3 linked regions of the Saccharomyces cerevisiae S288C genome follow. The protein of the gene in region 3 binds, or shares a complex with, the protein of the main gene of each other region. Each region holds a gene or a part of one and is shown on either strand. Other genes may lie near its edges. The genes, in order: BET1, UFE1 and SEC20.

Region 1 (10,399 bases), on a different chromosome or scaffold from region 3:
CAACTTATGCACAAGAGGGACTAAAGGGATTTTATTCTGGATTTACTACTAACCTAGTACGAACCATTCCGGCCTCGGCAATCACTCTAGTGTCCTTTGAGTATTTCAGAAACCGCCTAGAAAATATTAGCACTATGGTAATTTAAAGCCTTAAAATTCACACACGCCACACATTGAGTGTGCTATGAATATGCCTGCGCTAATATTTTAGGTATTACAGCTTGTAAATATACCAAATAAGGTAAGCCTCTCTTTTCCTAATACTAAAAGGATTTGCATCGAACAGCCCACCAAATGCTTTGCGCACACATTATATACACCCACATGATTCTATAGACAAAATATACTTATACATTTTCATAGTCTTGACAATATTCTACATTGGCCGTTTTCTTGGCACTATTTTAGCTTATCCTTACCAAAATAGTCTCTTTTTTAAATACTATTTTTGAAGCGGAAATAGGTGCGAACAAATGAATGGCTTCAATTTAGTGCGATAAAGACGTAAAGCATAAACCAGTGAAGATCATAGCACTAAGAAGGCGCCTGTACTGTTCCTCGTGTTGATACTCATTTCCTTATTTATTTTCCTCAAGAAATTCTATCCAGGAAAGAAAAATACTATCTATAAAAACTAGCTGTAAGGCAGCAGCCATGAAAATGAATCTGAAAAGGCTCGTAGTTACCTTCTTCTCATGCATCACCTTTCTGCTGAAATTCACTATAGCCGCCGCTGAACCACCAGAGGGCTTTCCAGAGCCCTTAAATCCAACAAACTTCAAAGAAGAGCTATCTAAGGGGCTGCATATTATTGACTTCTATAGTCCATACTGTCCGCACTGCAAACATTTAGCACCTGTTTGGATGGAAACATGGGAGGAGTTTAAAGAGGAGAGCAAAACACTGAACATAACATTTTCACAGGTTAACTGCATCGAGAGCGCCGATTTGTGTGGAGATGAAAATATTGAATACTTCCCTGAAATTAGACTTTATAACCCCTCAGGATACATCAAATCGTTCACTGAAACACCGAGGACCAAAGAATCATTAATTGCATTTGCACGCAGGGAGTCTATGGACCCAAATAACCTCGATACTGATCTGGATTCTGCTAAAAGTGAGAGCCAGTATCTCGAAGGCTTTGATTTTCTCGAGCTGATCGCTGGTAAGGCGACTAGGCCACATTTGGTTTCCTTCTGGCCAACAAAAGATATGAAAAATAGCGATGATTCACTAGAATTCAAAAACTGTGACAAATGCCATGAATTCCAAAGGACTTGGAAGATCATTTCAAGACAGTTAGCCGTGGATGATATCAACACGGGCCACGTTAATTGCGAATCTAATCCAACAATCTGTGAAGAACTGGGCTTTGGCGACTTGGTGAAAATAACCAACCACAGAGCCGATAGAGAACCCAAGGTAGCATTAGTCCTACCCAATAAAACCTCAAATAATTTGTTCGACTATCCCAATGGCTACTCAGCGAAGTCAGATGGCTATGTAGATTTTGCCAGGAGGACTTTTACAAACAGTAAATTTCCCAATATAACAGAAGGGGAGCTCGAAAAAAAAGCAAACAGAGACATTGATTTTCTGCAAGAAAGGGGACGAGTAACTAATAATGATATCCATTTAGTTTTTTCATATGACCCCGAAACTGTTGTTATTGAAGATTTTGACATTTTGGAGTATTTAATCGAGCCTTTGTCAAAAATTCCAAACATATATTTGCACCAAATTGACAAGAATCTAATAAATTTGTCACGTAATCTTTTTGGAAGAATGTATGAAAAGATCAACTACGACGCCAGCCAAACTCAAAAGGTTTTTAACAAAGAATACTTTACTATGAATACGGTTACGCAACTCCCAACTTTTTTCATGTTTAAAGATGGTGATCCCATATCCTATGTTTTCCCCGGATACTCCACAACAGAAATGAGAAATATTGATGCCATTATGGATTGGGTAAAAAAGTATTCTAATCCCTTAGTTACCGAAGTTGACTCTTCTAATTTGAAAAAATTAATTTCCTTCCAAACCAAGAGCTACAGTGATTTAGCAATTCAGTTAATAAGTAGCACTGACCACAAACATATCAAAGGAAGCAACAAGCTTATTAAAAACTTGCTCCTCGCAAGTTGGGAGTATGAACATATTCGGATGGAAAATAACTTCGAAGAAATTAATGAGAGAAGGGCAAGGAAAGCAGACGGGATCAAGAAAATAAAGGAAAAAAAGGCTCCGGCTAACAAAATTGTTGATAAAATGCGTGAAGAGATTCCCCATATGGATCAAAAAAAATTGTTATTAGGATATTTAGATATTTCAAAGGAGAAGAATTTTTTTAGAAAATATGGTATTACTGGAGAATATAAAATTGGTGATGTGATTATCATTGATAAATCAAATAATTACTACTACAATAAAGATAATTTTGGCAACTCCTTGACTTCTAACAACCCTCAATTGCTGAGAGAAGCATTCGTGTCCTTAAATATTCCATCAAAAGCTCTATACAGCTCTAAGTTGAAGGGGAGATTGATAAATTCTCCATTCCATAATGTCCTCAGTTTCCTAGACATAATCCACGGGAACGGCATGCCCGGTTACTTAATTGTTATTGTTTTGTTTATCGCAATACTCAAAGGTCCATCTATTTACAGAAGATACAAAGTAAGGAAACACTATAGGGCGAAAAGGAACGCTGTCGGTATCCTAGGAAATATGGAGAAAAAAAAAAATCAAGATTAAACGCTTAAGTAGTTATAAAAATAAAAGAATGCTGATATCTTATGATGCTATCATAACTATCCTTTATTTCACGTATCAATATCTACAATCATCTAACAAACGTCGCTCTTATTTTGTCACTTAGGTTTAATGTACAATATGCAAATATTTATGTAATCCATACCCAAAAAAATAGCACGCCTACCATAAAAAATATTATTAACCATGTTTTTATACTGATCCCAGATCTTCTGGCCATCTCCATCATGTTTCCAAAAGTCCTTTTGAGTTTTACAGAAGTGTTATGGAAAGTATCACCAAGCTGGTCAATAGTTTGATTGCTGCCTCTAATCTCATCACCCATCTTCAACGATAATGACTTGAGTGCTTTTATTCTCTGACCCATAGCTCCCATCTGTTCCTCACTTTGAGATTCAAGAGATGCCAAAGTACTTTGGGAGTAGTCTAATTTATCTGTGCTCCCTAGCGCTGATGATACATTGTCATCGAGACTATTTGATCCATCAGCCGGTCCGAATAACTGTGTTCTACCAGTATCACGTTGATAAGCGTTTCCCCCTGCAAATCTATATACACACGCTATAGTTAGTAAACGAAGTTCACTCGTGGTCAATAACTCCCAATATCGAGGTGTTATGGTAGATGTTTAACAAAAAGCGCTACTCTAACTTTAGAATAGTCTAATAATTTCTCATACCTTGAACTCATCTGTGTAGCCTAGTGTTGTGAGGCTCTTCAATCACATTTTCTAACACATTCACAGTCTCAAGTGAACTACTGTTTGTTTTCTACCATTCCTTGGCAAAAGGCGCGAGTTGAAAAAACTCCATTTTTAACAACTACTGGATACTTTCGCAATTTAAAATTAATGGAAGAAAGAGCCGTGAACGTTCCTACGTAGCTTGCAACAACGGTAGAGTAGTATCCGCCAATTAGCATGCATAAATTTCATCTGAGATAGTGCAACATTATAAAAAATCACTAATACTTTCCCTGATATGTCGCCCCTTCAAATTTTTTGCACGCCACATCGATAAGAGTGAAACATATCCCTGAACAGTAACCTAGAATGTACAGAAATAACTGGAAATACAATTACAAAGCGATAATTACGGGATCTTTGGTTCCTATCACAGAGTAAACACCATGGGTTTATTAGATATTATTTGGAAGAATCACATTAGACGGCTCATCGCGCAAGTAATAGCAAAATGGAAAGAAATCGGAAGGCTTCATTAGTCATGAACGTTTTACACCATCAAAATGAAAACTATACACATGCGTCGAGGAGCACCCAAAACTAATACGACTATTACAATTAAGCATGGAGGAACAGGAGATAGGCGTTCCTGCGGCCTCTTTGGCAGGAATAAAACATATCATATTGATCCTTTCCGGAAAAGGTGGTGTCGGTAAAAGTTCGGTAACGACACAGACTGCGCTGACTCTTTGCAGTATGGGCTTCAAAGTTGGAGTTTTAGATATTGATTTAACAGGGCCATCCTTACCGAGGATGTTTGGCCTAGAGAACGAATCTATATATCAAGGTCCTGAAGGTTGGCAACCTGTGAAAGTGGAGACAAACTCTACTGGCTCTCTTAGTGTAATATCATTGGGGTTTCTACTAGGTGATAGAGGGAACAGCGTGATATGGAGGGGTCCTAAGAAGACTTCTATGATAAAACAATTCATCTCTGACGTCGCCTGGGGTGAACTGGATTACTTACTGATCGATACCCCTCCGGGAACGTCGGATGAACATATATCGATTGCAGAGGAGCTGAGATATTCCAAACCAGATGGTGGTATTGTAGTAACTACCCCACAGAGTGTTGCAACAGCTGATGTCAAAAAAGAAATCAATTTCTGCAAGAAGGTCGATTTAAAGATCCTCGGTATAATTGAAAACATGTCAGGGTTTGTATGCCCGCATTGTGCTGAGTGTACAAATATCTTTTCCAGTGGGGGTGGTAAAAGATTATCGGAGCAATTTTCTGTCCCATACCTTGGTAACGTTCCTATAGATCCAAAATTTGTAGAAATGATTGAGAATCAAGTTTCAAGTAAAAAAACGCTTGTAGAAATGTACAGAGAATCATCTCTTTGTCCCATTTTTGAAGAAATAATGAAGAAACTGAGGAAACAAGACACTACAACCCCTGTTGTGGATAAACACGAGCAACCCCAGATAGAATCTCCAAAATAAGATCCTCTCCTATGCATGTACGTATATATATATATATGTGTGTGTGTGTGTTTATATACACTTATATTTTGATCCTTGGGCCTAGAAATAAATTTCGATTCCTATTTCGATTCCTATATCGAAAGGTGGTTAGAAGCTAACCGGCAACTGCAGCATGTTCTTCAAGTGGTGATACAAATTTAAAAGGCCGGGTAAATATTGACAAAGAAATAATATTTAATCACACAATTTTGAGAAAGAGCAACTGAATCAATTACTCTAGAGAAATCGCAGAACACTTCACTCGTCGTCAATAATATGACTCGTGATACACCCGAAGATGTCAGTACTGCAGGCGCAAAGGATATTTTAGATGTTTTGAACCTACTAAAAGGAGGAGAAGAGAAAATCTCGGAAGTCGAACTTAAGTTGGATGAAATGGAAAAGAAAATGGACTCTCTGTTAGTTCAGTTAGAAGATCTACACAGGGACAACAATGATTTGGCAAAAAGTTCCAGCCAAAAATAGAGAGTACGCTCACAGCCGCATAGGGAAGGAACGCTAAATAAATATATTTATATATAATCTTTTCACTAATGATCATTTACTTACCTTTCTATAAAAAGTGGCTCATCTTCGTTCTCAACGAATGGATTGGGATCTCTTTTAGGATTAATCATGTAAACGGCCGGGTCTACGTCAAGAACTACTTTAACTTGCTTCCCACTTCCAATCCACCATTTTTTTAAATCCGAACTAGGTGGTGGTAACTTTCTACCTCTTTTGGGCTCGGGAATTGGTGTCGGAGAATGCGTAGGGCCAGCTATCGAATCACTGCCCTCAAAACTTTCGATAACAAATGCATCATCACTCAAAACTGCAATTTTCTCATCATCATCCAATCCCTCTAGCCTTTCCATAATCTTCTCGTAGATTTGCGTACCCAAAGTAGTCTTTTTTTGTTCATCCACTACAGTCACTCTAGCCCTAAATATGGCATATACGGGCCGATGATCGGAAAATAGTATATCTTCACAGCATTTATATTCTAACTGTTCTAGTACTTCTCCCCTACTTAAAATCCTATCAGTCCATGCTGGTATTCTCATTTTTTCGCTCGTGTCGTAGTTTTTAGTTCCTGGGTCGAATTTATAGGTAGGTGGGAAATCAATCGCCATTTCATGGAAATATGGAAAAGACTCACCTGCGATCATTTGTTGATTAAGTTGATCCTTTTCAAATAGGCTGGCATATTCTTTAGAAACAATTTTTCGTCTAACATCTTCGTTTGACATCAATATTCTGTAATTGAAATCGCCCATCCAAATAATTGCATCGTGATCCTTTATTCGTAATCCTTTAGAAAATCGTATGCTTTTCGCAATCGTCTTATAATCATTATGCCTTTGTTCAACATTTTCTAAGCCTGCCGCTAAATGAGATACTAGTACGCAAAATCTTGTAGCTGAGTATTTAAAACTAACCGCGACAGCTCCTTTATTAGAAGCCATTCCTCCAAACCCGGTTTTTTTAACATCCCCCTCAATATGCTTTACCTTGGAATATTCCGTTTCATTCATGAATAATAATAGTAAAATACCACCCAACTGTGTACTCCATAAACGGATATATTTTTTTTTGCGTCCGGGCCCATTTAATAGTGTTAATATCTTCTTCTCCCAAAATTGTCGGACATATGGATCGGTAGCAAGCATATGACCTGGGGTAAGTTCTACCACTTCTTCTAATCCGATAACATAAAGATCAGCCATTTCATCCTCCTTGGACATTGATTTTGGAAATATCCAATCTTTTATATCATCTTTTGGAATTTTACCACTTATATTAAATGTACCTGCAAAAATTGAGATGTCTTTCTCAAACGTATATTTTGACCTTAATTGCTTTAAATACTGAGAGATGTAGATATGGAGCGGGTCGTATAATCTAACTCGGGAACCAAATAACTTCGAATAAACCTTTGTATATTTACCAGAATTCTTCGTGTGCTTAGTATACGTTCGATCAAGCCAGTAATAGTTTTCTGACCATAGCTTATCATGTGCGTCCAAGAATGGGGAAGTCAATTCAAATACATCAATTTCATTTGTGGTTAATTCAAGTACCTCCTTGCTCACTAACCTTTCAACTGTGTTAGGTTTTTCAATTGAATCAAATGCGCTTATTCTTAATACCCCCGTTTGTTTTGCAAAGTAGATGCCCCTAGAGATATCATAGGCAAACGCTCCAAACTCGTAAATATCCTGTTTTAATAAATAAAGTAATTTGTGGGGAGACTTTGTCAGAACGCTTGAGCTGTATTCTATATTTGTTATTTTTATTCCCTTTGATTCAGCACAATCCTTGTACGTCAGTGCTAACTTTTCTTGTGATTCGCTTTTAGGTTTTATGATATTAACGATACTCACAACACCATACTTTGAGGTTAAATTATCAAAATGCCTGTCAAAAGCTCCCTGAGCTTCAATAGAATCTTTTGTTACCTTAATTTTTTTTCCATACAACAGTTGACTTTCTACAGATTCCCAAAAAAGAGGAATGCTTCCGTTCACTTGAGTATAAGAAAAAATAAACTTTTCTGTGGTTACTACAATTTCTGTCTCAACAAATAGCGACACTCTCCCATCTTCACTAATACCCTCCAATTCTAGCGTATCCTGCTTGCTCTCAGTCGAAATTCTGGAAATAATGGTTATAGAGGCTGTATTTGGGCCGTCTTCTATTAATGCTGTCTTGCAATAACCCCGAATTACAAATGTTAAGAACCCTGCGTTGGCAAAAAGTTGTTTCTCCTCATTTGAAATCTTGCTTCTCCAGTTGATTACCTCACTTGCTAAGTTAGCATTCCAAATAAATGATAAATCTTGATTATCTACGGTATATTCTAAGTTATGTGATAAACCATGGTTTTTCACGATATTAGAGATGTCGAAATCTCTAGAATAGTAGAATGTTCCATCACTAAACAGTTTTTTCAGGGGGCCGCAAGGATGCTCATGAATCAATTTATCATAGTTTTGCTCTGATCTCTCGCAGAGGAGGTAGTCGAAAACATCATTTTCTAAGCTGTAAAAGTCAACATCCAATACTTTATAAATGCTCTCCGAAGGCCTAACTTGATGATCTATCAGTTTCCATCGAGGAAACCCAACATTCTGAACACCAGATATGACGGCAACATATATATCACCATTAAGACAAACGAGCCCTAATAATCCATTAAATATGCAACTTTTGACTTCGAGATAGTTACTATCACTTGAAAGATCTGTGTCAGGGTAGGACTTGATTGTTACGCTAGGAGTTTTACTTAATTGACGCTGCTGAGAACTGGCACCTGGTATGCTGCGCAAACGCTGGAAGGATAAACAGTAGTTGTTGGAAGATATTACAATCGACCGTGATCTTCTACCGATGAAGAGTCTCATTGTAGTGAAATGTGCTTCGAATTCATACGATTAACACAACTTTATCAATATTTGCTGACTTAATCCTAGAATGAAATAGAAAGGCTATTTGATTTGTGTAGATATTTGTTCCAACTTTCCGGTTTACAAATGTTTAACAAAGGGATTCGTTTAGCAATTAGGCAATGCTAAACAAGAAGGAAAACAGGAAACCCTGAAGGAGATAAAACGACGTCAAGAATAGAAGATAAAAAAAAAGGGACATTAACAGGTTATATTGAAACTCAATTCCTGCCTAACCTTCTAAATTGAGAATTTAGAAACGGTATCGCTTATTCTGAATTCCTAAAACACCCATCCCTTTTAAGTAAAATAATAATACGTGGACTACGTAGATGTGGACACTCAATTTACTTACTATTCTCTATGGTCATATTGACAATAAACAAAAATACAAGAAAAAAAAAACTACAGGAAAGATTTGTCATAAATTGTACACTACCACTTGAAAACGACCTTTGGCATATTTATGGCAGATAAATTAATGGACAAAAATTTTGAAGAACTGTGCTATTCATGCCGCACTGGTGATATGGACAATGTTGATAGATTGATTTCCACGGGAGTAAATGTGAATAGTGTTGACAAGTTTGACAATTCGCCACTTTTTCTGGCTAGCCTTTGCGGGCATGAAGCAGTCGTGAAACTTCTTCTACAGAGAGGAGCCGTCTGTGATAGAGACAGATATGAAGGAGCTCGATGTATTTATGGAGCATTGACCGATACTATCAGAGATACCCTTTTAAGTTATGATATATCCAAGGCTGTAGATGTCAAGCAACCCTTTGCTACTCATATCTCATCGATGTATAATGACGAAGGCTTCCTTAAAAGAGATATCACATTCAGAGTTTCGAATGGAAAACTGTTCACAGCGCATAAGTTCTTATTATGTGCAAGGAGCGAAATTCTAGCAGAAAAAATGGTGAATGAGTGGGCAAAGCATGAAATTGTTTCTCTTGAAGTGCGCCCAGATATATTTGACATATTTTTGAAATTTCTTTACTTAATTCCGATCCTGCACCAAATTGAACCGGGACAATATGAAGAACTTATAGAGCTATCTAGTAAATTTGATATTGAGTTATTGCCCGAATTTTTAGACAAAGCAAGGCATACCGCCGATCCTACGGAAAAGTCGAGGTTAATGTCAGATTACCAATATAAGTTTACCGAGGTTGCAAGAAGTCAACTTTTAATATTTGTGAACAATTGTATCTTTAGATCTACTGTTGATCTTGCTAATAGTGAACGACGAGTTTTTTCCTTGATGAACTGTCCAGCTTATCCGGATGTTCAACTTATGGTAAAAAACCGAAATGGAGCCATTCGAATATACCCTTGTCACCTGGCTGTTTTGAGCCGCGCAGAATATTTCAAGGTGATGTTCACAAACAACTTCAAGGAGAAAGTTACATATATCAAAGCCAAGCACGTTACAGGAAAGTATAATAGTATCATTCCACAGCTGACATTACCCAATTGTGAGTTTGAGGTTGCCGAAATTATTCTCCGCTACTTATATGCAGATAATACAGACATTCCTTGGATGTATGCCGTCGATGTTTTGTTACTTGCCGATATACTTTTAGAAGACCGCTTAAAAACTATCGCTTCTACAATTATAACACAATCAAAAGAGTTTATTCAGCAATACAATGTTTTTGACGTACTCTATTTATCATGGGAAATAGGAGTGGAACGCTTAGAACAATTTGCAGCTAAATTTATAGCTATACATTTGCAAGAGTTATATAAAGATCCAGAGATTAAAAGGGCAATTATGTTGAGTTCACAACGAATTTCTCTCCGCCAGGAAACTGATACTATTGAACTAGTGGATGACATTAGGTACTATTTGCTCCGAAAATATTCTTTTGAACCGGATGATGTGGAGCTGTTCGAAAACCAAGACGATTTAGAATACCTAAAACAAGTAGGGTATTTGGAGTACAGAAAAGATATG
Region 2 (10,880 bases), on a different chromosome or scaffold from region 3:
TACTCTGGTCATTTACGCCTGGCGCCCAGAATGTACAAGCGCAGACGGCCAGATCATATGATGAAACGGAATAGTCCCAGCTATACCGGTGATCACAAGACGTAGTTACATAGATGCCTTGGCGCCGACACGATATTTCTTGTCGTTCTGTGCCAGTAATTCCTTTTCTTCTCGACTATGCCTCTAAGACGTCAGTCTTGGAAGCATAGTCTTCGTAAAAAAATTTTTTTTTTGAGGTTTTTGCTTCCATTTCTTTAGACTGAACTAATTTATTTTTTTTATTATTATTCAGTAATTTTTATATATTTATTTATGGACTTATTGAGGTGCTTTGGGGGTGATGACGTCCCCAGTGAGGCCCCCAGGGTAGTGGACCGCACCTAACTTCCCATTCATGATGTGATTACGCATTTTAATCTTGTCTATATGTTCTACAATGATGGCGTCAGTGCCAATGCCGTTCGCATCTATGAGGGAGATGAACTCGCTCTCGGCCGTTGGGTTTGAGGCGGTGCCGTAGTGTCCGCCTTCATTCCGGCTTCGCGGTGTCTACGAGGCATTCATTTTATGTCGCGGCAACTACTTGATATTTTCCACCAGGCACAAGGAGAAACATGGAGAAATTATATATAGAGAACTATGAGTCCTGAGGCGGCCGTTCAGTAGCTCAGATTGCCAGGGTTAAAAATTGCTCCTTGGCATCCTATGTGCTGCATACTAAAAAATTTTTAGCCACGTAGTTGTATACTTTTGTTTCCGGGGATGAGAAATTAGCCCCAGGTCCCAGACTTACAACAAGGTAGATAGGGGGGCGCACCTTGTCGTCATGAGACCCATTTCGTAGAAACTTGAATTTGTTGTTGTTACTTCTGTTTTCAAGTAGGAGTAACGAGGCCGCGTACAATTTGCCAGTGGATTTGTCGCCTGCAGCAGCGGCCGCGACGCGACGGGTTGATCCAATTTTGTGCTTGCTTCTTCAACTGAATATTTTGAGTCCACTGCATGTGGAAAACAGAGTTTTCAGTCAGTCTTGTATGTATATTATTCTCTTTAGCTCCAGAATTTCTGCTGTGCTTAGTAACTTCTTGCCGTTGAGCTGATTTTAGTAGTATAATTTTTTTGCAACTCTACTGATATCAAGAGCAGTGATATGTGCTTTAATGTTGGCATTTCTTTCAAGCCAATCACCTTCTACCATTGGTCACGGTCTCAGTATATTTGTCGTAAATATTAGTACTCTAGTCTGGTCAGAGAAGTGGCCTTTCTCCCACCAAAACGTTGTTGTTCTGTCTTTTTTCTTATTATTTACTATTTATTGGATTTATCAAAAATTCCTCAGGAACAAGATTTAATATTCTTGAAAATCCTGTATGTCATAAATCATGAGCTTGGAAATTGACACGAAATATCGGATGGCACTACTTGATGATCGTTTTTATCACTACCGCTGTACTTTAATTTCATAATTTATTTGGTGACATTTCTCTTGAAGATCTGGCAAGATGTACACGGGGAGCTCCTTCAACTGTTAAAAATATTTTTAAAAGTAAAGACGTCACCATACTTTTTCACCATAAGAACAATTACTGGTCCAGATTAAGAACGGTTGGAGTAAGAGCCAATTATCATTCATTGACTGGTATTTCCTTTTGAACTATATTATCATATAATAGGTAAGAAGATGGCAAAAAGGAAGGAGAAACAGTGGTCTGATGTGATAGGGAAGTAAATGTCAACAAATACCTAACAGTACTATCTGATCGAACAAAGAAATTCCACCAAACTGTCAGTAAATTTATTTAATGAGCAGCAAGGACATAGTGCACAACTAGCACTCTACTTCGATTGGGTTATTGAGGAAGAGGATAGTATGCCCGGAATTTTCAAGCATTTACATGATTATGGTTTCATTGGGGTGCAAGAAGACCCAGCATGATTAGATTGCTATGTACTCATTATATAATATATCTCCGATGAATATATTTCCGAAAGTTTACTGAAGGCGACCTTGGATAAACCATAGTTTTACGGCAAATACACCATATCACTATTTTCTTTCTATATAGCTTTGCTAAGGCTTTTTTTAGTGACCGAGACAAAGAAGAAAATTTTCCATAAATGAAAGACCATTGTTTATTCCGAATCAAGTTTTCCGAAGAATTGTTGTATTACACAGTCCAGAGACAGCAGAATCTTTCAGAAATTTTAATACTGTTGTGACAGCATCTTGTCTATTATTTATTGGATACGCAAAACTCATTTTTTTAAAATTTTTTTTATAATTTCCTTTAAATAAAAAGGTTAAAGCTGGGAAAAATGCATCTAAATAATAAACTAATGATTTAGTTTCCCTCATTTAAAATATCTAAGAAGGACAGAACTTTGTTTGGGGTACTTACCCTTGAGTATTTTTAGCGATTATTCTTGGAGTTCTCAGCCAGAAGATTAAAAGAATATATGTTACTGAATGCAGTGTGATACTCAAGACTAAGTAGTCTTAACAACAAGTTAACAAGGGCGTGTGGTCTAGTGGTATGATTCTCGCTTTGGGCGACTTCCTGACTAACAGGAAGACAAAGCATGCGAGAGGCCCTGGGTTCAATTCCCAGCTCGCCCCTTTTATTTTTGATTATTTATTTCCTATTGGTCGGGTAACAGATTTTTTTTATTTTTTTCAAGGCCCTTTTGTTTTGTAAACAAAGAAATTTCACAAAGTGAGCGTCTACTAATATTGATAATGCCATTTCCACATTACAACTACTGCTAGGCGCAGGGTTATATTACTTACACACGCATATATATGTTTAATTGGGTATAGAGGGGTTATTGTTTGACCATGCCGAAGAGAAAAATTGCTCCTAACAAGGAAAGCAGCAGGCGTACGGTCTCCCACGATGATTTAACCCCACAAATACAAGAATTTCAAAACCTAATGGATCTCGAATCGCAAAAAGTGGAAAACATCAGACAGTCGTATTCGAGGCAAAACTCCCTGCTGGCCAAGGATAACTCCATATTAAAAATTAAAGTTAATAGCTTGGAAAAAAAAATAAGCCAGCTGGTACAAGAAAACGTGACTCTACGATCTAAAACCTCTATAAGCGAAGCTATCTACAGGGAACGGTTAAGTAATCAACTACAAGTCATTGAAAACGGTATTATTCAAAGATTTGACGAAATTTTTTATATGTTTGAGAACGTACGTAAAAACGAAAATTTGCCCAGTTCGAGCTTAAGAACAATGTTGAAGAGAACGAGTTCCAGGTCAAGATCATGCTCATTGTCATCACCCACATACTCAAAAAGTTACACTAGGTTATCAAATCACGAGAATAACCTGTCGCATGAATCAAGTTTTAACAAGGACGATGGTCCAGATCTTGAGCCTAAGGCTAAAAAAAGGAAGAGTTCTAGGCGGCAATCTATGTTTGTATCCACGAGTTTAGAACCTGAAGACGAAACCGGTGAAAACGAACCCATGATGGAAAATTCCTCTGTAGAGGTACCGGCAGAATCACACGAGTCTGCGCAAGTGGAGGAAACAATAGATGCCTTAAACCCTGAAGAGGAAAATAGCGATTCTGTCAGTAATTTTACCAATTCAATTATAGAATACTCCATACCAGAGGAGAATCCGACAGAACCCGAGCATTCATCTTCTAAACTAGAAATATTCAATGACAGTACAAATATGCTAAGTACAGTGCCGTCAAATCCTTTGCCGTTGCCTTTACCAGGCCCATCCGCAACTTTACCTACTACCACTAGCGATGCTTCAACGGTCTATCCTTCATCAAGTTCTTCTACTAATTCTCATCCAAAGACCAAAATTAAGCATTCCATGAAGCCGCCTAGGATAGAACTGAAGAAAAAGGTTATTGACGAAGTCATGCCCGTAAGTAACATGAGCAGCAACAGCGAAATATCATTTACGAGAACTAGAAGAACTCGTGGTAAAGCTGTAGATTACACTTTGCCTTCTTTAAGAGCCAAAATGAGGAGGCCTTCAGAAAAACTTGTGGATGCTACTACTGTGATTGATATACATGATCTACAGGTTTCCAAGAGAAATCGGGAAACTTCACATAAAAGGAAAAGTTTATCCCAAGATTCAATACCCGACGAACCGCAATTGAGAGAAGTCGTCGTCTCAAAGGATTATGGAACTCCAAAAGGGAAAAAAACGGAAGATGAAATACACGAGGATACCGCTCATCTAATGACCACTTCCAACAACAACAGCAACAACAAAAACGAAAAAAAACTAACTAGCAACAATAGCCCTAAAAAATCGTCGCCTTTACTTGACATTACAAATAAATCGGAGAATAAGAAAAAGTCAACAAGAACTAAAAAATTGTTCAAAAATGCAATTGTCAATAATTTATCTGATGAAAATTCTACTACGCGACCCTCCAAGTCGTCAAAGGGAACCAGTAATAATAACAACAATTACAACAATTTCGACAATAACAATTCAAACATTAATAATGTTAATAATAAATCTGTTAGCTTTAGACTAAATGAAGATGATTTAGCAGTATTTGATTTATTTGGAAATGGTAAGGCAGTGAAACATCAACCAAAAACATATCGCACCAAAAAATGATATATAGTCTTTTTGCCCTGGTGTTCCTTAATAATTTCTATATTTTTGCATAATAAACCATTGTATTATATACATTCGATTTTGTGTGTATATACGTAAGTACATGATTTTGTTTCTCCTCGTGCTGTCAATTATACACTCATTTTCATTTGAATTCTTGGATGAGGATTATAATCTTCAATTTCAAAGTCTGTCAACTTGAAATCATCAATGTCTTTAACGTCCCTTTTAATCTTTAGTTTCGGGAATGGTCTTGGATTTCTGGTGATTTGTTCTTTCAAGGCATCAATGTGGTCTTTATAAACATGTGCATCCCCCAAAGTATGAATGAACTCACCTGGCTCCATGTCGACAACTTTAGCAATCATTCTAGTCAACAAAGCATATGATGCAATGTTAAATGGTACTCCCAACCCCATATCACAAGAACGTTGGTACAATAAGCATGAAAGGCGGGGCTTACCGGATCCTTCTCCTTCTTTGGGGAAACTGACATAGAACTGTGAAAAAATATGGCATGGCGGCAAAGCCATTTTGTCAAAATCAGCTGGGTTCCAGGCACTCATAATGATTCTTCTATCGTAGGGATTTGTCTTTAGTTTATGTATAACCTGTTTCAATTGATCAATACCTTGTCCAGTATAGTCGTCATCGCACGTCTTGTATTTAGCACCAAAATGCCTCCATTGAAATCCGTAAACGGGCCCCAGATCTCCTACTTTCCTATCTTTGAACCCCATCTTATCTAAATATTCACGAGATCCATTACCGTCCCAAATCTTAACACCTTGCTCAGACAATAGGTTAGCGTCTGTATCACCGGCCAAAAACCACAATAGTTCAAGTATGATACCTCTAGTAAAAACCTTCTTGGTCGTTAGTAGTGGGAAGGTATCATCACGTAAACTAAAACGCAGCTGGGGTGGTGCAAAAAGACTCAACGTACCAGTGCCTGTTCTATCTGGCCTAAATTCACCTTCATCAATGATTCTTTTGCATAGATCAAGATATTGCTCTTCTTCTTTGTTTTTTCCGTCCATAGTCATCCTGTACCGTTCTGTTATGAAGCTCTCTCCTTGATACTTTATTGTTTGATATACACAGTCACTTACAAGTTTAGAAAATACAATTACAGCTATGCTATAGTAAATATTTCAGGAAACGCGTCAATTAAGGTCTTTTTCATTTTTTCTATTTAACGCGTCACCAAATATTAAGTTTGAGAAAGAAGGTCAAAAAAGCAACACCTCTTCCAACCTGTTCAATGCGGTCCTACGTTGAGGACACAAAGCTAATCTCTTTGAGGTAGCTGCAGTATAATGACGGGACCTTTGCATATTTTATTGGCCTTTTCCAATGAAACTAATTTTTTAATTGAATCTCAATCCCGTCCTTTACAGACGAGAGGGGAAAGAAGCTTGTTCGCATGATCCATCCTGGAATATGGATACATGTCATGTAATGATAAATCATTCCTACCTTTGCTGGTATCTTTCTGAAAAGGGCACATTTAATTAAGAACTGCCAACAAGGAAAGATCTCCGTTACCCTACCCAACTTGTGAGCTCAGATGAATGAGAATAACTAGAATACATACACATACGTCTAGTATCATTTCCCCCGGTGCTGGGAAATCACCCGTAAAAGCAGTGAAGAGCTTATTAACTCATGATGTCTGATTTAACACCAATATTCCGTAAGTATGTTGCTGTTATCGATGATGCTAGAAATGAGCAAAATGGTATAGATGATCATGTTGAAAGGAAACAAGAGGACTTCGGGAATTCTAATGAAACGTGTGAAATGTTTAGGGATTCGTTTATTAAGGAATGTGCAAGACTATTGAAGTTCCTAGTCGAATTAAACAAGGTAATAAAACAGATTGAAAAAAACTATTTAGATGACTTTAATATGAGTGATGCGGAAAAGGACGAGTTTGACATGGAATGCAGGCTGCAAATTCAACAATATTTCAAAAAGTTTGAATTCCTAGAGAATTACGAAATGGAAAGGCATAATTTGTCGCTGAAAAGATTTCAGTCAAAGTCTCACAGATGGTCAAAAATACTTTCCAATAAAAACGACAACACTAAGCATGTGATACATCCGCAAGACATTGAAAATGGAGTTTATGAATTTAGATTAGGTGTCCTACGGTGTTTGAATTTGTGGATAAAATATGTTTCATCCAAATTCACTACCATACAACAGGAAAGATTGATATTAGAAAATAAAATGAATTTCAATTCAACGCCTATGCCTACTTTATCCAACAATGCGGATGATTTCTCTGCAGATGCAATAGACATCTCAGTGTCACAATCTGCTCCCGTAGAAACTGTACAAGACGAAGTAAAACATTATGAAGAGACGATATCCAAATTAACCCAGGAGCAACTACAAGTGTTGGAGACAGAACATTCGGAACTGCTAAATCAAAAAAATGAGCAATTGAAAAAAGTGGAGACTATAAACAAAACAATTTTAGACATTGTCAATATACAGAACGAATTGTCCAATCATTTAACGGTGCAATCTCAAAATATAAACCTAATGCTGAACAATCAAGATGACATTGAATTGAATATTAAGAAGGGAAATAAAGAATTACGTAAAGCGAAACGAGCTGCTGGAAGAACTGCTAAAATGACCACTTATGGTGCCATTATCATGGGTGTTTTTATATTGTTCCTAGATTATGTAGGTTAATATCACTTTCATAAGATATGTGTAAAATGGGTTAAAAAAATCAATCTATCATCAACTTATTACTATTCATTTTATATATTAAACAATAAGTATGAATGCCTAGTATAATTTCTTAGTTGTAGGATTACTGGCATGCAATTCTGCCAACTGCGATAACCTTATGATCTATTGATGTTAAAACAATATTGTTGGTAATGTATTTGGAATCAATCACATTAAGAGCAAAGTCTGGTTCTATAATTTCGACTTCGACAATAAGTGACTGATTTGGATTAATTGAGATGTCGTTAGTCCCGAGAATCTTCACCAATTTTACCGCGTTGTGCGTCAAATTATGGTAAAGAAGCAATTCAGAACCCAAGTCAACGGGATCACTTAGCGCGTGCGTTTGTATTGATAATTTTATTAAACGCAAGGCTAACAACTTTAGTGTGTTTGGTAAATTCGGTGATAGTGTATTCGTCTTTCTAGAGTGAATTATTATATCACCCTTACGAATGTGAAATTGCTTTTTCGTGAAGTCTTCGGTATTATGAATCTTAACAAGAACCTCTAAAATGTCAGGGTTCAAACCGACTGATATATTATTTTTTGTGTTAGTCTCCAGTATTTGTTTTGAATTCTTCATTCTTGAAACTATACCATAGTAATGAAAATCTTCATATTGTGTATGAATTTCAATTGTCTGGCCTGATTGAATATATCCGCTGTTGATCAAGACTTTGAGTGACACGTAATTTATCTCCGCTATCGGTTGAAGAACAGAAGATTGCAGTATTGTGCCTACAAATGGCTCTTCCAAAGTTGTTTCTATTTTGTTCATATTATGCTCTACCAATAGATATAGTTGCGAAAAAAATGTCGGACCTTCATACCATTCGGGAACATAATTTATAGAGTCAAATTCTGACTTATACTTAGATTTTGTGATGTTTTCAGTTTTATTCAAATTCGAACCTAATAAACCCGAACACGGGATAAATTGGAATTCTGCGTCTGTCCACTGAAAGTTTTCCTTCAACACATAATTTAGCTCAGACTGAATCATTTCTAGTCGGTGCTTATCCCAACTAATTAGATCTGCCTTATTCAAAAGAATTATCAAGTGCTTTTTGCATGCGGAATTCTTGTTCAAATAAGAGATCACTTTTAAAATTTCATAAATCTGATTATTTGGACCATCTAATGATTTTTCCCACGAGTCATAATTGCAATCAATAACCAATACATAAACTTCAGGATCAAAGGTCAAAATTGAGTTCAGAGTTTCTTTATTGAAGTATTTGATACTACCAGGAGTGTCTATAAGCGTCAAGGTTGATGATGGCGGTAGTAAATCATTTTCTACCTGAATAACTTTCTTAAACATGGAAAATCCATTTTCTCTTTCTGTTTTGGTATTGTCTAGAATGACCTTAAAACTATTTGAAGATGAAGGATCCAAATTACTGCTTTTTTTTTGTAGTTCCCTCATTGATGACATAGAAATTTCGTTTAGATCATATAAAAGATGACCAAGCAAAGTGGATTTGCCTGCGTTTGTATCACCGAGGAACAAACATGTCAAATTCAGAGGATGGGTGGCAATGAATGAATGAATATCAATCGACTCAGTAGGTGGTGTTTGAAGGTTAATTGGTTCCTTTTTTTCGGCCTTGGGCACAGATTTGATATTTAAGTTTTCTAATTTTTCATTGAAAGCATTAAGTTGGGCCGATTGTATTATATCATCAGGACTTGGTCTATTGAAATTCTCAATGGCTACTTTACGAGTTGTTTTCGGCAGGTTACAAGGCACAAAAATACCAAGGAGCTCATTGTTATGCTTTTTTAAGGACAGAAATGATGAATTCTGCGACGATAGCGGTATTGATGTACTCAACGAGTTTTTTTTATCTTTTATGATAAAGTTTGTGAACGCAAAATCGTCGGTTTGATTTATGCATGGATCGTTTTTCAAGAAACAGTAATGGTTCATTTCTTTAATAGCCTTCCATGACTCTTCTAAGTTGAGTTTATCATCAGGCGATTTCCTTTTGGTAGGGAGTTCGTTTTCTTTGCTGTCTAATGTCACTGATTTTCCTTGTTTCTCCAAATCACTATTTGACTTCTTTAAGGCAGACAACTTTAAACTCAATGAAACACTATGCTGGTTCGGGGTAAAGTCGCTTCTTTTTACCTTGTCTTTTGCAAGTAGCGTCTTCAGATCCTTCCTTTTTGTCTCAGCATTGTTATCTTTAGTTTCTCTATTCTTATGTAGTCTTTCTAGTAAGGATGCACTTTTCGATGTACTATGAGACTGGTCCGCACTTAAAAGGCCTTTAGATTTTTCTATTCTTTTTCTTGCTAATTGCTCTAATAACGACATGTCAGGTGGTACTGTAAGTTTCGAAGACCACCTCCTCGTACGTGTATTGTAGAAGGGTCTCTAGGTTTATACCTCCAATCTGTTATAGTACATATTATAGTACACCAATGTAAATCTGGTCCGGGTTACACAACACTTTGTCCTGTACTTTGAAAACTGGAAAAACTCCGCTAGTTGAAATTAATATCAAATGGAAAAGTCAGTATCATCATTCTTTTCTTGACAAGTCCTAAAAAGAGCGAAAACACAGGGTTGTTTGATTGTAGAAAATCACAGCGATGGCAGATTATGATAGTGCGAAATATTGGTCCAAGCAGGGAGCTCGTCGTGGGTTACAGAAAACCCGTTACTACTGCCAAATATGCCAAAGGCAATGTAAAGATGCAAACGGATTTCAATCACATAACAAATCGCCATCTCATTTAAGGAAGATTAGTCAAGTGACAGCTGAGGACGCTAGGCGCTACAATATCCAGTTTGAAAAGGGATTTCTACAGTTATTGAAGCAGCGGCACGGAGAAAAATGGATTGATGCTAACAAAGTATACAACGAGTATGTTCAAGATCGCGATCATGTACATATGAATGCCACCATGCATCGTTCTTTGACGCAGTTTGTCCGGTACCTAGGCCGCGCGGGCAAGGTAGACGTGGATATGGATATTGATGATACATCTGAGAACGTTGAAGGTCCTTTGCTTATCAGGATCCATCCCTCATCTTTATCATCACCTTCTGAAGATGGAATGCTGCGAAGTCAACAAGAGGAGCAAGAAGTCATAGCCGCCGAGCTTTTGAAAAGACAACTCAATCGTGCTAAGCGACAAACTGAAAAGGTATATCAACCAGAGATGAAATCGGAAATTAGCGGGGATAGCACTCTGAAACGTGTTCAAGTCACCTTCCACGGGAATGGTCGGGTAAATAAAAAGAAAAAGAAGGTTCCTCCACGGAAAGATGGTATCAAGTTCCGTTGATTGAAAATTTTTCTTTTCAAGCGATGAGGTTAGCGAAGTTGTTCGAACAAGCCCAAATATGTTTAGAAGGCAGTACGAATTGATACCCTGAACTGTTACTACCCGTATACACGTATTAAGTAAGACAATGAGTAATGGACACGTCAAGTTTGATGCCGATGAAAGTCAAGCCAGCGCAAGTGCTGTCACGGATAGACAAGATGATGTGCTGGTAATA
Region 3 (10,939 bases):
CTTCTTAGAGGTGGCTTTGGACAGTTCAATGTATCTCAATAATTCATTCTTGACGATAGGTGAGAAATACTTACCGTCCAAACCTAATAGTATGTATAACCAAGGCCTTCTACCAAACTTATCAATTATGAATTCTTGCAAATGTTCCTTAACAGTAGGACTGAAAGTCTTGAATACTAAAACTGTATCGTCAACACAGTTCAGAATTGTAATGAAGACAATATTACCGTACTCATTTTTGATCAATTTTTCGGCGTGGTTTTTCAAAGCCTTTAAAATTAACTTTCTTTCCTTGGCGTTAGCTCTAGCAACCAAAGTACAAGCAACGTCTGAACCTTCTGGAGTATGCACCAATTCAGCGAATTGTTCATGAAGCAATTCGATCATTTCAGATATTTCCTTTTCGTTGGCTATTTTCACATATTCTCTCATAGCAGCATGTAGAATTTGAAAGCCGGTGGAACCCTTTTCTACTGATGCGGTAATGGTACCAATCAAGTTTCTGGCGATAATATTCCTTTTTTCAATGCTACTTTCACAAACTTTCTCAATGGTCAAATCTTTGTGGGTTTCTCTAAATACAGCATATTCAGAGCCCCAAAACTCTTTAATCATTTGTTGTCTTTGTTCATGTGTGGCATAAAGAACAAATAAATCTTCAACAACGTAGGCACCCTCACGATGTCTCATTAATTTTCTCAAAGAACCGTGTAATTCATTTATTATAGTTTGCCTTGAACTTCTTGAACCATAATGCAGTAACTTAACCAATAGATACTTACCGTACGCAGATGTGGCTAGAACATAAAATTTTCCCTTTAAAGCATCGACAATTTGTTCACGACGATCTTTGGACGAATACTTGACTAAAGTTTGAACAATACGGGAAGCATCATGCTTTAAGACAAGATCACTGATACAGTCCTTAGATAGCTCCCAGATTTCGTTGGAAAGTTTTTCACGAATCTGTTTTGGTAAAGGTGGGGTCTTCACACGCAATCTTTCCCAGACGGATTTAATTTGTTGCACTTGGGTACCAGATTTTCTTTGCATTTTCCTTTCTTTTAGCAGTTTTCTTTGTTCAGTGTGATTTCCATTTTCACCTCCTTCAGATTTGTCCTTTCCTTCTTTCTCTTCATTCTCATTTTCATGTTCCTCACTGTCATCGGAAATATCTAATTCGTCAGCTTCTTCTTCTGCTTCAGAGTCACTGGTACTTAAATCATCCAAATCATCATCATCTGATGAAGAGGATACAGCATCTTCCTTTTTGGATAGTTCTGATTCTTCATCAGACGAATCAATAGAAATTCTAGGTTTTTTGGCTAATTTCTTTTCTGAATGACTAACTTCTTTAGCAGAACGTTTTCCGTTTGTCTTCTTGGTTAAAGGTGCCATTGTCAGTTAATTTGTTATTCCTGATTGTGCTTTATTTCAGTACTCTATAATAAAACGCTTTCACCTTCGAAATACTTTAGGTAGGCATCTCATCTCATCCCAGCAAAAAAAATTTTCAGTATTTCTCTCAAGGTGAAAAAAAAAAAAGGTCTTCAATGCCGGGTTAGTTAATCTTCTATATATGCATACAACAATTAGTTCGACTTAAATACAATGAACTTTTTTCTATCTTGTAATTTATTTTTATTTATTTTCTACTATGTATTTGAATATTCAATTGCGTCTCCTTCCTTTTACCTCGTGAAAGGACTATATATCCTCTATAATCTCTTGAGTTGGTTCATATTTCAATTCATGAACTCTGGCAACTTGCTGTTTTCTCTTCTTGGCCAAAGCTTTCGAGGCTTTGATGTTGAACCCGTCCTTCAAAATAGTTTGTACCTCTTCTAACTCCAATCCCGATAATTCTGGATAACAGAAGTAGCAGAAAATGGTTGATAAGCACGACAATCCCGCGAAAAAGGCAAATGTACCTGCAGGAGTGATATTCTGTAACATGGTCAAAAATGTGGATGCAATAACCAGTGAACCAGCCCAGTTTGTAGCAGTTGCATATGAAGTCCCAATACCTCTCACGTTTTGGGGGAATAGTTCCGATTGTTGCCATGGAACAGTACCGATACCAAGAGCGTAGAACGCAGCAAATACGATAATAAATACGATGATCACAATACCCCAAGAGGAGAAACCGGAGGAAACCACCACAGCGACAGCGCCATCAAACTTAATACCTAGAAAATGGAAAGCAATAGAGCACACGACTAAAGCCATGGTCATGCCTGGTAATCCAATCAATAATATGGTTCTACGGCCTATTTTGTCAATGGAAAAAAAGGCAACTAAAGTGAAAATAAAATTGGTACCGGACACGATGATTGAAACAGCGGAAGAATTTTTGAAACCGACAGTTTCGAAGATGGTACCAGAGAAATACATCAACGAATTCCAACCGGTAAACTGTTGAATTGCTTGTAAACCACAACCAATGATCAAAGCCCTTAGATTAGATGGTACTGTGTGCAATTCTTTGATGGTATTCCAGACTTTTTCAGGGACATTCTTACCAGGAATAGATTGATTCAAAGTAACAAGTTCTTCCACCTTACGTTCAATGATTTCCTCCGAAGTGTCAGTGTAACTTCTCTTCAACACCTCAGTAGCCCTTGCCAAGTCGCCCTTCATAACGTAGTATCTTGGAGTGTCAGGTAAAAAGCACAGGCATGTGAATTGCACAGCAGTGGGAATTAGTGACAATCCAACAAGAATTCTCCAACCATTGTTGACGTAGTTTAACCCAGCACCGCAACCGTAAGCGACTAATTGACCACCAGTCAACCATAAGGAATTGATGACAGTTAGTCTCCCTCTGATCATTTTGGGAGCAATTTCACTGATGAAAAGTGGCGCGATCAAGGAGCCGATACCGACACCGAAACCCATGATCAGTCTACCAACAGCCATTTGCCAGAATGTGTGTGCGGAGACCTGTAAGATTGCGCCAATGACAAACATCAGATTCGAACCCATTAAACAACGTTTCCTACCAAATATGTCAGCTGCAGTACCGGCGAAAATACTGGTAATCAAAGCTCCCAGAGAGGTAGCCGCAGTGACAATTTCCTTCTCCCCATAAGTAAGTACCTTGTGGTCCAGATCTGTGCCGATCGAGATCAGCGCACTGGATATATAACCAGTGTCGTAACCAAACATGAAACCGGATATGGATGCGACAAAAGTCAGAGTGATGATGAAGGGCGAAAGAGATTGGTTAAAAGTGATCATGACCGACGTGTCATCCTCGTCGTTCACGGGTTTAATTTGAATCCTATCTTCATCATCGCTAGCGGGAGCCCTCTGTATTTCATGTGACTCAAGTGTAATTTTACCTCTCTTTGAAGGTGAGTCATGCTCACTGTTGAACTCTACACTATCAGCGTTGCCAACGGCATCACCAACATTTGATTGCGATGTCTTTGACGTGAGATATGGTATGTGTATTCCCATTTTAACACCCACTGCAGAAACAAAGAAAATGAAAGAGATGTATACAGTAGGACGACCAATAAATCTGAATAGCGCACCAAACTGAAAGAGAAGAATAGAGCAAACACCTGCCAAAGAAAAGCCCAAGTGTGAAAGGTCTTTTCTCAACTATGGCTTGATTCCTTTTATATTTTTTCCATTTTGCAACAGCGCGTTGAGCTTGGTCGAGCTTTTTTCACATGCGGTGGGGAAGGCGTATTTAGCGCAACCAGTGGGGGGTATAAGCTATACCTAACGCATGTGAAGAGAACAGAAACAATGGTGAGAGAAAATAAATGGAGAGGATGGAGAGAACTAAGTATATGCGCTTATTATGTTATATAGATGTTAAAATTATCATAGCTCATCATGTGAGACGATCCTGTCCACGGCCTCATCGACAGCCCGCTGGATACTACTGACGGCTGATACAGATGCGAATGGTTCCACAGAGGTTGCTGAGGATGTAGTTGTAGTGGCTAGAATGGGTGCATTTAGCACAAGACTGGGTGCTTGAAGAGAGGACGAGGAGCCTGCATAGCTTTTAACTAGACCTAGGGTGACGAGTATACCCTTGAAAAACTTGAATAGCAGCCAGAGGCCGAGTTTAACAGGTAACTTGAAAATACGACGCCATAGAACCCACGAGACGCAGCATAGGAGGAACCCAAGTGATAAATAGACATCTCGTTTCTCTTGATGGGAGGCATTTTCCAGTACTTTGACCAAATCGGCAGTTTTCTTGAAGACGGTTTCGAATTGAGTGTACTTGTCATCGATTTGTGTTAAGGAATTGGTTTGGGCTCTCAATTCATCCAAATTCAGGTCACTTTGTAAAATTCCGGACTGCAAAATTTGATTTCCTCTCACCAAGTTATTCGTCAGTTGTTTTGTTTTGCTCAAAAGCTTCTCTCTAGTGCTGGCTTTTTCCATCGATGTGGACGTTAAGCTTGACGATGACGACGTTCCTTGGTGAAGCTTGTCGTAATCCACAGCGTGAAATTTTATAGCGCGGTCTCTTTTCTCGTCGTTCCAAGCTAAGTCACGTTTGTGGTGTTGTCGTAGAATCTCTTTGACTTTCAGGCGGTAGCAATAGAACCAATCGACGAATTGCAACACGAAATCCAGTTCTTCGACCAACTGAGCATATATGTCCTCGTTCATTTGTTTATCAAGCTTCACAATATGCAACTTATCGCATTGATCGTATCTAGGGCTTTTTTCCCACTGTAATTTTAATTCGGGGTATTTGTAGGTCATTTCCACAATACTACATTTCAGTACCGATTCGAAATCTGAAACTTTGCTCTCTATAATATTCACCAAATCCTCAAATTCAATCTCTTCTTCTTCATCATTGTGTTCGTTGGCAATGGCTGCAAAACTGTCCTTATTATCATGCTTGCTTTCTCCGCTTTCTTTTCTGCGGGAGATTGCACTTAATTTTTGCAAATTATTTAATAATGCATCTTGCAAAACTTCCAGGTCCTGCAAAAATGTCACGACCATAATCTTTAATGGCTTTATAGTTTGTTATGCGCCTTGGCAGCGTGATCCGATCTTACTTGTTAACTGTATATCAGGTATTTCTGTTGGCATTTTTACAACTGCGAATGTATTTTTCATTATTTAGTAACAATTCTATTTACCCGGACAGCGTGTGCAGGTGATTTATTGATAAAGTCACTGGTAAAGACGTGCTTTCTTTAGTGTGGGATTAGATTTACCACTTGTTTTGAGATTAGGAAAATTCCAACGTTTGCTAAAGGTGCAAACGAAGCTGTTTTGTTGCTTTTCTTTTCTTTATGTAATTGTATTTACCATGATCCTCTTTGGTGCGGCGCTAACAATAGAAAAAAATACACACACATTAGATTGGAATTAGAGCTTAAGTGGTACAAACTAGGGCTAATAAAGAGGTAACGGTCGGTTCTCTACTAAGGTTCGTATTGTGTGGCACCGATGTTAAGCACTTTTAAGCGGAATAACTCGAGTGGAAATTTTATGTTTAGTTAGGTTTTACCTTGAATTTTTTTAAAAAAAAAAGAGTCAGACAGGCTCGCTCTTTCCTACTAAATATTAGGAGCAAAGCAGTAAAAAGTCTCTGAATAAGGATAGTAACCTGTAGTAACTCCAAAATTTATCTTACAAAGAGCTATTAGTATCTTGGTTCTTCTATTTTCTTCGATTATTGGTGATTTTTCCCGCCTCTAGCCAAATCCGAGCGTTCCATCGATTTTTTGGGGAAAACAGCACATGCAATAAAATAAAAAGCAAACAAATACGCGATAGTGCACGAAACGTCAACACAATCATCAAACTCTTTTGCATATTTCTATTATAGATGAGACGAGAAACGGTGGGTGAATTTTCTTCAGATGACGATGATGATATTCTTTTGGAATTAGGCACCAGGCCTCCAAGGTTTACTCAAATACCGCCATCATCAGCAGCATTACAAACACAAATTCCCACTACTTTGGAGGTTACAACGACCACATTAAACAATAAACAGAGTAAAAATGATAACCAACTGGTTAACCAACTGAATAAAGCTCAAGGTGAAGCAAGCATGCTTCGTGATAAAATAAACTTTTTGAACATTGAAAGGGAAAAGGAAAAGAATATTCAAGCCGTCAAAGTTAATGAATTGCAAGTCAAGCATCTTCAAGAGTTGGCTAAATTAAAACAAGAATTACAGAAACTGGAAGATGAGAAGAAGTTCTTACAGATGGAAGCGAGAGGAAAATCGAAAAGGGAAGTTATTACGAATGTAAAACCACCGTCAACAACATTATCAACAAACACAAACACTATAACGCCAGATTCGTCCTCAGTTGCAATCGAAGCAAAACCTCAATCACCACAATCAAAAAAACGTAAGATAAGTGATAATTTACTGAAAAAAAATATGGTTCCCCTAAACCCAAATAGGATTATTCCCGATGAAACGAGTTTATTTCTAGAGTCAATATTACTTCATCAAATAATAGGCGCTGACCTGAGCACAATAGAAATATTAAATAGATTGAAGCTTGACTACATCACAGAGTTTAAATTTAAGAATTTCGTCATTGCTAAAGGAGCCCCCATAGGGAAGTCCATAGTTTCTCTACTTTTGCGATGTAAAAAGACGTTGACCCTCGACAGGTTCATAGATACTTTGCTAGAGGATATAGCTGTTTTGATCAAGGAAATATCAGTTCATCCAAATGAATCGAAATTAGCTGTCCCATTTCTCGTTGCATTGATGTATCAGATTGTACAATTTCGTCCTAGTGCCACTCATAATTTAGCACTGAAGGATTGTTTTCTTTTTATTTGCGATTTAATAAGAATCTATCATCATGTATTGAAAGTACCGATACATGAATCAAATATGAATTTGCATGTAGAACCTCAGATTTTCCAATATGAACTGATAGACTATTTGATAATTTCGTATTCCTTTGATCTCCTAGAAGGTATATTAAGGGTACTGCAGTCGCATCCTAAGCAAACTTATATGGAATTTTTTGATGAAAATATTCTAAAATCATTTGAATTTGTCTACAAACTAGCACTAACCATTTCATACAAGCCAATGGTAAATGTAATATTTAGTGCAGTCGAGGTCGTTAATATTATCACTAGTATAATATTAAATATGGACAATTCCTCAGATCTGAAATCCTTGATAAGCGGTAGTTGGTGGAGAGATTGTATTACAAGATTATACGCTCTTTTGGAAAAGGAAATTAAGAGTGGCGACGTATATAATGAAAATGTGGATACTACAACTCTTCATATGTCGAAGTACCATGACTTTTTTGGGTTAATCCGAAATATAGGTGATAATGAATTGGGAGGATTGATATCAAAGCTGATTTATACTGACCGATTGCAAAGTGTCCCAAGGGTAATTTCTAAAGAGGATATTGGGATGGATAGCGACAAATTCACTGCCCCTATAATAGGTTACAAGATGGAAAAATGGCTTTTGAAGTTAAAAGATGAAGTTTTAAATATTTTTGAAAATTTATTAATGATCTATGGAGACGATGCGACCATAGTAAATGGAGAAATGCTCATCCACTCCTCTAAATTCTTATCCAGGGAGCAAGCGTTAATGATAGAAAGGTACGTGGGACAAGACTCCCCGAACTTGGACCTCAGATGCCATCTTATTGAACATACTTTAACCATAATATATAGGCTATGGAAAGACCATTTCAAACAATTGCGTGAAGAACAAATCAAGCAGGTAGAAAGCCAATTGATTATGTCACTATGGAGGTTTCTCGTATGCCAAACCGAAACTGTGACAGCAAACGAAAGAGAAATGAGAGATCATCGACACCTTGTAGATAGTTTGCATGATCTGACGATAAAGGATCAAGCCTCTTATTACGAAGATGCCTTTGAGGATTTACCAGAATATATCGAAGAAGAATTGAAGATGCAATTGAATAAAAGAACGGGGAGAATAATGCAAGTAAAGTACGATGAGAAATTTCAAGAAATGGCAAGAACTATTCTTGAGTCAAAATCATTCGATCTAACCACACTAGAGGAGGCCGATTCATTATATATCTCAATGGGACTGTAAGGCAACAATCAAAAGGGGAAAATGTCAACGCTTTATAGAAACCTTGTAATGCTTAATATTAACTATATATAATTTATATTATTTTCGTTTTAGGAAAGAACAAAACTTATAGATAATATCAAATTTAAGCAGAAGTAGCCTTAGCAGAACCGGTTTGGAAACCGTTCTTAAATCTTCTGGAGACATGCTTCAAATATCTCATTCTACCGGTACCAGTAGTGTGTCTTCTCTTTGCCTTGGCAGCCCAGTTGTGAGATCTAGTCTTAGCGGATGGGTAACCACAAGAGGAACAGGTCTTCTTTTGAACATGGAAAGAACGACGACCACATCTGTTACACAAGGTGTGAGATTTGTTGTGACGCTTACCGAATGAAGGAGTACCCTCTGTTTAAAATGAAAACATAAAAGTTAATTATCGTTAGTAAAACTTTGAACTAAATAAACTCTACTGCTGGATTCAGAACAACTTCATTGGCGGTCTAGATGTGTGTTGCTGTCTTACACTATTTCTTCTCACCTTTTTGTATTGACACTCAAATCTTTTTATTCGCTCTTTATGCATCCGTTATGTGCAATTTCTTATCATCAATGGCTCTGGCAACATTCATCATTCTATATTTTTAAATCTTTTGGCATAGTGAATAACGTAGGTCTTAGTTTACCTGGCCTCTCCTGGTGGAAAATTTTTTCAGTGCTTCTTTCTCATGTAATCCTCTAAATCAGACCGGATGTGATTGAACGTTGACTCATCAATTAATAATTCCTGTACATACTACCCATCTTTACTTATATATTCGTTTACCTCTTTGTTCTTTATCTACACATAGTAGTGCTTTTTGTTACCGCTTTCTATAGTAACCTATGCTTACTATTCCAGCCATGTTTCCAATCTCATCCTTCCCGCAAGTGGCAGGAAGATTCTCAGTGATAATATTAGTGGTGTACGGAGTGCTTGAAGAAAAAAAAAACTGATATAGAACCCAAAAATGTTCGGCTTTTAAAATACAAATATGTACAGGTGTTAATGTCTAAATAATGATAATCCAAACGCGATAATTTTTTTTTCGCGTTTGTTTTTGTTTCAGAAGAATAAGTAAACACTTCTGCCTCTCCCAAGAAAGTTTAATTTCTCTCCTTATTTGCCGTTTCTATCGTTACTAGCAACGGGGAACAATATATAGAAGCGTTTTTTTTTTTGGTATACTATTTACACAATATTTGCCGATTTCATTAGTCTTTTCGCTAGAAGTTTCACGACAAAATCGTCACAATTTTGGTTATGTCCCATCTCTTCCCACCATCATCACCAGTTGCTGGTAAACCTTTGGAAAGCCCACAAAAAGAACCTGGTAAGCTTGCTAATACTTCTGTATTGACCTTAGGAAGAAAACGGTATAATTACGAATTGGAAGAGTATCCTACTCCAGACCCGTCGTCTAGCATCGGAAGACAATCTTCACCAGTGAAAGATATCACTTCACGTTTAAATGAGACCAAATCTGCCTTGTCATCTCCTTCAAAGCAAGAAAAGGTGCTTGCAGGCCCTATCGAGATTGAATTAGATGCATCGGATCCCTCACGTTTAGCCATCGGTAGGAAAAAATCAGTCTGCAACATTATTTTGCCATGCAGAAAGAATATCTCTAGGCAGCACGCTTTTATTTCATACGCCGCCGACAGAAATGAAATAAAATTGGAATGTAATGGAACTAATGGGTTGTCCGTTCACTTGCCTTACTCCATGCAGTTGCATTTGGTAAAACCCTTCCCAACAAGGAACTTTTATAAACTAGTGGCAGAAGAGCCTTTGACCTCGCAAAATACTAAACAATCGCATGGAAAAACTCTTCAAAAGAACCAAAACTTCATCAGCTTTGTTTTGGCTAAAGGTGAAACTGTTACTTTCCCCTATATCCAAGGAAGTTTCATAAATTTTACAGGCGTCACAGTCTGTCTTTCATTGAAAAAAGTAGCACCTTATCCTGGCGATGGCAACAATAACTTTGACGAAGAGAACTCGACAGAAACGGAGGATGAGTTGTGTTTATTAACAACAACGAGCGATGATTTTTCTTGGCAAAAAGAAACACCTTCGATGAAATTTGTCCCAGTTGAGCATTCACCTCGTACAGAACAGATCTCAAAACCATTACTTATTGCATCTCCTGCTCTTGTGAAAAACTCCCCCATTAGTTATAGAACAACACCCCAAACATCTTTCGTTATTAATCAGCCATCAACTCCAAAGAAACTGAAGCGTAAATCAATTTCATTGAAAAATAACACTATACAAGAGACACCACTTCCTAAAGATAAAATAATTGGGACATTAAGTGCCAGTACTAGGAGTGGTGGCATTAATGAAGAAGAATCTTTCGCAGCAGTTGCAAAAAAAACTAAAGAGCTGTCTTCTACAACCGCGATTGTATCTCCTGCACAAAAACGTCTTAAGACTTCATTGAATATTATTCCCGAAATTTCTCGGTCGCTCTCAGAAAGAGGAATTCGGTTTGATGACCTAGTTCATGTGCTATGTAATCATCTTGCATTTTCTAACCTTCAACAAACGCCTTTATCCCAATTGCAAAACATCAATTCCAACACTTCACAATTAAGCAAAGATGAACTAAAAAAGGTCTTGGAGACTATTTCTTGCATTGGTATTATTGTGCGTGAAGGAAAAGATGCGTCTGGCAAGCCATTAGAAGACGAGTATTACTATGATGTTGAAAACGATGATAGCGACGAGAGAAAGATTTTGTATAATTCGTTAAAAGGCAGGAGCCGATTAAGGTCGTGCAGGAAGAAACATAAACAGTATTTCTGGAAGAGGCCGACCAAATAACCTCAAAGACATTCTATATTTCAACC

Evidence for each region.
Region 1: SEC20 (region 3) and BET1 share a complex: the UniProt entries of both Saccharomyces cerevisiae proteins name them as parts of the SNARE complex.
Region 2: SEC20 (region 3) and UFE1 share a complex: the UniProt entries of both Saccharomyces cerevisiae proteins name them as parts of the SNARE complex.

Annotation. Positions count from the first base shown.
Region 1 is NC_001141.2:345,038-355,436, forward strand, and holds BET1 (Bet1p), read right to left. Parts: upstream 3,469-10,399; coding exon 3,458-3,468; intron 3,327-3,457; coding exon 2,909-3,326; downstream 1-2,908. Other genes in the region: YIA6 (NAD+ transporter), read left to right, coding at 1-146; protein disulfide isomerase EPS1, read left to right, coding at 655-2,760; iron-sulfur cluster assembly protein CFD1, read left to right, coding at 4,085-4,966; CMI7 (Cmi7p), read left to right, coding at 5,264-5,473; phosphoinositide 5-phosphatase INP51, read right to left, coding at 5,554-8,394; YIL001W (uncharacterized protein), read left to right, coding at 8,903-10,399. UniProt on the Saccharomyces cerevisiae protein: SNARE required for targeting and fusion of ER-derived transport vesicles with the Golgi complex.
Region 2 is NC_001147.6:461,935-472,814, forward strand, and holds UFE1 (Ufe1p), read left to right. Parts: upstream 1-6,277; coding exon 6,278-7,318; downstream 7,319-10,880. Other genes in the region: YOR072W-B (uncharacterized protein), read left to right, coding at 2,535-2,696; SGO1 (Sgo1p), read left to right, coding at 2,837-4,609; CDC21 (thymidylate synthase), read right to left, coding at 4,741-5,655; SKI7 (Ski7p), read right to left, coding at 7,443-9,686; RTS2 (Rts2p), read left to right, coding at 9,965-10,663; BUD21 (Bud21p), read left to right, coding at 10,791-10,880. UniProt on the Saccharomyces cerevisiae protein: Syntaxin required for targeting and fusion of Golgi-derived retrograde transport vesicles with the ER.
Region 3 is NC_001136.10:1,442,006-1,452,944, forward strand, and holds SEC20 (Sec20p), read right to left. Parts: upstream 4,990-10,939; coding exon 3,838-4,989; downstream 1-3,837. Other genes in the region: PUF6 (Puf6p), read right to left, coding at 1-1,398; myo-inositol transporter ITR1, read right to left, coding at 1,708-3,462; LCD1 (Lcd1p), read left to right, coding at 5,825-8,068; 60S ribosomal protein eL37 RPL37B, read right to left, coding at 8,193-8,452, 8,842-8,848; PLM2 (Plm2p), read left to right, coding at 9,348-10,913. UniProt on the Saccharomyces cerevisiae protein: SNARE required for targeting and fusion of Golgi-derived retrograde transport vesicles with the ER.